Mus musculus: one gene and its partner. The protein of the gene in region 2 binds, or shares a complex with, the protein of the main gene of each other region. Links are inferred from orthologs where the notes say so. Each region holds a gene or a part of one and is shown on either strand. Other genes may lie near its edges.

Region 1 (3,278 bases), about 27 Mb from region 2:
TATGGTATCGCTGCACACCTAAGGAGTTTCTACAAGGGTTTGTGCTCTTTTAAAAAATAAATAGAATCTTACACTCCAGCTGTGTAGTCATGTACATGATCTTCTTTCCTTAGCAATAGATTATTTCTGTGGCATTTAACTGCTATACACTAGTATGTAACATCTTATATGCAACTGATCCCTGTTATTGCATGTTAGATTTTCTAGTTTTTCCTGCTAAAATTGATCATTTTAAATCTTAATTATTTATGTCAATAAAATTCCCAGAAGAGAAATGCTAGCACAAAAATGACATTTTTTAAAGACTTTTGATACACAAAGCATTGCCAAATCTCTCAGAAGAGCTTTGTAGCTTACATCCCTACATCAGCCCTCCACTGATTCTTAGGGAACTGCTTAGTTGTTTATTGTTTAAAATGCAGGCTAAGCAAAGCCCTGTAAAAGCCTACATCTCAGGAACCTAAGAACCTTAATTGAAGAGTAATATGTAAAAACATAATAATTATTGCAGCCACAAAACTTTATATTGGGGAATTTTTTTTCTTTGCTCCTTAAAAGTTGTTAGGAACATCATTAAATTTTCAATTTTACCCCTTCTGATTTTATGTGGTTTTGTTTGTTTGTTTGTTGATTTTGTTTTTTGGCAGCTTGTGGATAGGAGGTTATAGCTCTAGATGCAAAGATATATAGGGAAATGTCAGTCAGTCTTTAAACTGAAGAGAACGTTGGCGGTACAAACATTATGTAAAACCCCGCCCATAGGAACTCCGAAGACCCCACTGTGTTGAACAGAAGGAGCAGTGAACAGCTGAGAGGGTGGCTTCCGTGTCCCCTCTGCTTAGACAATGCCTAAGGGGACACCTGTGCTTCTGGAACAGGCTCTCCCAGAGGAGAAGTTCAGAGATAAGTATAGGTAAATCTAACGTCTGTAAGTAGGAAAGTTTAAAAAGTTTTACATGGTTTTAAAAGGGATCTTTTAAGAAAATAACCACTCTTGAAAGATCAAACAAGATAGAATTACATAAATCAGTTTTTTTCTTTGGTTAGGAGTTTTTAAGACCAAGAAGTAAATTTAAATGTTATAATAAATTGTTAAATTTTCCCATCAGTCCATCAGTCTATCAGTCCCCAGTTCTGCCTTCAGTTCTATCAAAAAAAATGTGTTCCTGAGCTGGACGTGGGCGCGCACGGACGTGGGCGCACACCCTTAATCCCACAGCTCAGGAGGCAGAAGCAGGCGGGGGTCTGTGGGCTCCAGACCATCCTGTTCTGCAGAGTAACCTCCAGGACAGCCACAGCTACAAGGAGGAACCCGGTCTCTAAAACAGCAAACCAACAAAGAGAGGGGGTTCCCTTCTTACCACCTCGACTCACATGCCAGCCAGAACCAGCCAGTGTTGTTGGAATCACCCCAGTGGGCTTTTGTCTTACTCCTGCCCTCACTGCTGTCCTCCAGACAGTCTTAAAATGGGAAACAGATTGGGTCACTGCTCTTGAATTTCTCCACCGTGTCGTTTCCCAGTAAAAGCCTGAGCCATTACAGTGGCCCGCTGGCCCTCACATGGCCTGTCCTCTCCTGTCTTCTCTCTTTTGCTCCTGCTTCTGCCACCACACAGCTCTGTCACACCAGAATCTTTGGAACACTCTGAACGCTCTGAAACCCACGCTCACAGCACTTGTTCTTCCTTCATCTAATCGCTGGCCATGTTCCCAAGGAGTCTTCTTTCACATCCTCCACGTCAGTCTTGAGATGTCACTCTAGCAGGGCCTTCCTAAGGTTTTGTGCCCAGCATACACATGTCTAAATATTCTGTTCCACATTTGCCCTCAGGACCGTGCAGGCAGCATCGTCTTGAAGGTGCTTATCTCTTTTAAAGCTAATGATATTGAAAAGGCAGTGCAGTCTCTGGACAAGAACGGTGTGGACCTCCTAATGAAGTATATTTATAAAGGCTTTGAGAGCCCATCTGACAACAGCAGTGCTGTGTTGCTCCAGTGGCATGAAAAGGTAAGTTACAATTTACACATCCCTGTAGCTGGCTCCTTTAAAATGGAAGATGCCACCTCTGTCACCTGAGAAGTGACTTGACTGTACACCTTGACTAAAATGAAAAGTTTACATTTGCTTACCAGCCTTGATCTTAAAGGATTCCTTTTTGCACTGCATATTTATTTGCATATACTTAGTACATAAGTGATTATGTACTTGAAATATGAATTCTTTTACATTAATCAAAGGATAGAAATAGCTGGGCAGTGGTGGCATCCACCTTTAATCCCAGCACTTGGCAGAGGCAGGCGGATTTCTGAGTTCGAGGCCTGCCTGGTCTACAGAGTGAGTTCCAGGACAGCCAGGGTTATACAGAGAAACCCTGTCTCAAAAAAACCAAAAAAAAAAAAGGATAGAAATAACCCAAGATAAAGATTAATATATGGTACCTAGAAACAGTGGGGTGTTACTCATCCATGGAAGGGAATGGAGTTTTTGTACATTCTACAATATAGATAAATCCCAGCAACTACATGATGGCTCACAACCATCCGTAATGAGATCTGACACCCTCTTCTGGTGACACTGAAGACAGCTACAGTGTACTTATATATAATAATAAATAAATCTTTAAAACAAAAAAGAAGTATTTATATTTCTACTTGTGTGAAATAGTCTGAAATAGGCAAGCTCAAAGGGATCGAAAGTTATAATAAGTTGCCAAAGGCCATGGAGAAGGAGTATTTGCCTAGCATTCTTGGTTGATCTCATGCACTGTAGTTTTGTATTTCAAAAATTGTTATCGGCATGTATGGCAGTGTATGTCTCTAGAGAGAGGTATCCCAGGCCAAGCTGGTCTACATAATGAATTATATGCTGTACTGGGAGGCTGGTCTCAGGGAGGAAGAGAAAAGGAAATTATTTTTAGTTCTGTATAAGAATTTAGTAGATAGATGAACCAGGTGACTCAGTTGGTTAGAATTTCGTGCCAGCAAACTTGACAACTTGACTCATTCTCTGAGGCCCACATAATGGGCAGAAAGAACTGACTACCTACACACACACACATTCACGTACATTGTACCCACATACATGTACACAAAGCAAGCTTTCATACCTAGCTCTTGTACTGATAAAATACTAACAATAACATAGCCACATCTCTCCATAGAAACGCTGGGATTCCAGGTGTTAACCATTCAATTTGCCTATGATTTTTTTTGTGTACATTGTGGGAATGTAACTCTGTGAGTTAGCACTTTTGATGTGCTGAGCCATCCTTCAGACC
Region 2 (2,670 bases):
TGTCTCATAGTACAGGCATGGCTTGTTAATTGAATCTTGCCTGACTTCTATCCTCAGTAGCTGTAGTATGTTGGTCACCATGGTCCTTTCACTCCTGAGCTGGATTGTTATTAACTTGAACATTACACTAACACAATGTTAACATAACAATTCTATACACTCATGTATAAAATATACTTAATTTTCAGTTTGCTAATCCAGATTTTACACAACCTATCTCAGAAGTTGTAGATGAAGTCATTCAGAATTGCCCCATTGATGTCCGGCGTCCTCTCTACAAGGTTAGTGTTTACAGCAAAAACTGGAGTTTTAAGTTTTCTTTTCATAATATTTAATAGCATATTTTAAAGCCTTTATTCTTGTTCATTGTTGAATATTAGAGAATTGTGTCTTAGAAAAGACACAATTGAATTCTTGTATATTTGTCTCTAGATTGCTTCTCTTTTAAAATAAAGATCATAATTTTTGGTTTTTTTTGTTTTTGTTTTCTACCACCACAGAACATTGTCCTCTCTGGTGGTTCAACCATGTTCAGGGACTTTGGACGTCGTTTGCAAAGAGATTTGAAGAGAACTGTAGATGCCAGGCTGAAGTTAAGCGAGGAGCTGAGTGGTGGTAGATTGAAGGTTGGTTTTCTCAACCATTGACAGAGAATGTGGAAGACCCCCTTGTTACTGCATTCTGGACAGGAATGTTTGCCAGCTCTCACTTAGGAGCATTAAGACAATCATGCCAGGCGTCCTGCTGGAAGGTAGCCACTATCCCTAGAATCATGGGTGCAGTTTGTTGCTTGGTACTTTGCTCTGGTTTGAGCTCTGTTGAGAAATGACAAAATGTCACAGCTCAGGCAGACTGCTTGTGCAAAAAAGGTTTTTATGTTTGCTTTCCTCCTCAACCAACCAATTCTTCTGACACTCACATAACTCCACTGTGTGAAAGGCTGACTTGTGTTTCACAGATATAGTTTTAAATCTGTGTAGCAGGGCCTGGTGAGATGCTTGTTGTACACACCCAGTGACCTGACCTGAGTTTGATCCCTAGAATCCATAGAAAGGTGAAAGGAAAGAAGCAACTCTCAGTGTTATCCTCTGTCCTCCTCAAGCATACCATGACACACACATAAAAGTTTAAATTCTGACTTAGGGGAATTCATACATTGATTATAAACACAAGGTATGGCTGTTGACCTAAGACATATTTCACCAGTTGATTTAAGAATGATCTGTCAAGCCAAAGGAAAACAGAATAAAATTAAAAACAGAAGAAAACAAAAACAATGTTATATTATTTAGTCAAGGAACATACATTCCTCTTTCTCTCTCTCTCTCTCTCTCTCTCCTCTCTCTCTCTCCCTCTCTCCCTCTCCCTCCCCCTCCCCCCTCCCTCCCTCTCTCTCTTCCTCCCTCCCTCCCTCCCTCCCTCCCTCCCTCCCTCCCTCTCTTCCTTCCTCCCTTCCTCCCTCCCTCCCTCCCTCCCTCCCTCCCTCCCTCCCTCCCTCCCTCCCTCCCTTCCTCCCTTCCTTCCTTCCATAATTTGGGGTGGTGTGTGTGTACACGCATGCACCTGTGTGCTTGCATTCACACATGTTGAGATCAAAGGATAACTTGAATGAGTTGGTTTGATCCTTTTACCATGTGGGTGGGTCCTGTGGGCAAACTCAGATTGATAACAAATGCCTTTTAACACTGAGCCATCTTGCTGGCCTATTCTCCAGTTAAGGAGCTCTAGGAAGCTTCACTTTGCTCACTGTTTCCTAGCCTGGACATATTTGAAGAGTTCAGGCTGTGTATTTTCTGAACTTTGTCTTGGTATGGGTCTGTTTGGTGTTCCTTCTGGGTGGGTGTAGTTTGTGCTTTGACAGTCACATCACAGAAGCGTTTTCATGTCAGTTTTACTGCGTTTTGTCAGAGAATGCATTGACTTTAACTGCTTGGTAGAGGCTTCCTGCCAGTTTTCTTCTGTGTATAGCCTGTTACCTTTGCATTCCCATGTGTAGAAACTTAAGAGGAGGCTGTCAGGCCATATAGCTGTTCTGTGCTTCATGAGACTTTTCAACCAGCAGTTTTAACATTCATTCTTGTTTTCCTGAAATAGTTGTGGCTGAGGTAGTTGCCAAAAGTACAGTTAACTTGTTCCTGTTTGTGGCTGAAGTAGTTGCCAAAAATAGAGTTAGTTTCTGTCTGCCCTGGTTTTGCCCCATGCATGTCTCCTTATATGTATTTGATTTATATGTTTAGTATTTAATTATACATGATTTATGGAGTACAGTGTGATAATTTGATACATGTATGCAAGTTGTAAGATCAAAGCAAGGTAATAGCATTTCAGTTTCTTTAAACACGCATCATTGTATTTGGAGCCTCTCAACTCCGGTGTGGTAGGGCAAATACTGGTGCTATGCTGTGTGTACTGACAAGTGTGGTCATCTTCATCTGCTGTTCCATCACACCCACTCTAGATAATCTCAGGTCCTGAGTTCTGTCCCTTGGACTTTATAATTATTATTTTTGTGTATGCGCATTTAAACTTAATTGATTGAGAAATTGGTATTTGAATTTACTGTTACTTTGTTACTTTTTAGCCCAAGCCTATTGATGTACAAGTTATTACACACCATATGCAGCGGTATGCAGTCTGGTTTGGAGGGTCAATGCTGGCTTCCACGGTTCG

The links.
Region 1: Actr3 (region 2) and Arpc5 share a complex: the UniProt entries of both Homo sapiens proteins name them as parts of the arp2/3 complex. The link is inferred for Mus musculus from reciprocal best matches to the Homo sapiens genes ACTR3 and ARPC5.

What each region holds. Positions count from the first base shown.
Region 1 is NC_000067.6:152,769,533-152,772,810, forward strand, and holds part of Arpc5 (actin-related protein 2/3 complex subunit 5), read left to right. Parts: intron 1-1,831; coding exon 1,832-2,008; intron 2,009-3,278. UniProt on the Homo sapiens protein: Component of the Arp2/3 complex, a multiprotein complex that mediates actin polymerization upon stimulation by nucleation-promoting factor (NPF).
Region 2 is NC_000067.6:125,395,063-125,397,732, reverse strand, and holds part of Actr3 (actin-related protein 3), read left to right. Parts: intron 1-188; coding exon 189-281; intron 282-500; coding exon 501-626; intron 627-2,581; coding exon 2,582-2,665; intron 2,666-2,670. UniProt on the Homo sapiens protein: ATP-binding component of the Arp2/3 complex, a multiprotein complex that mediates actin polymerization upon stimulation by nucleation-promoting factor (NPF).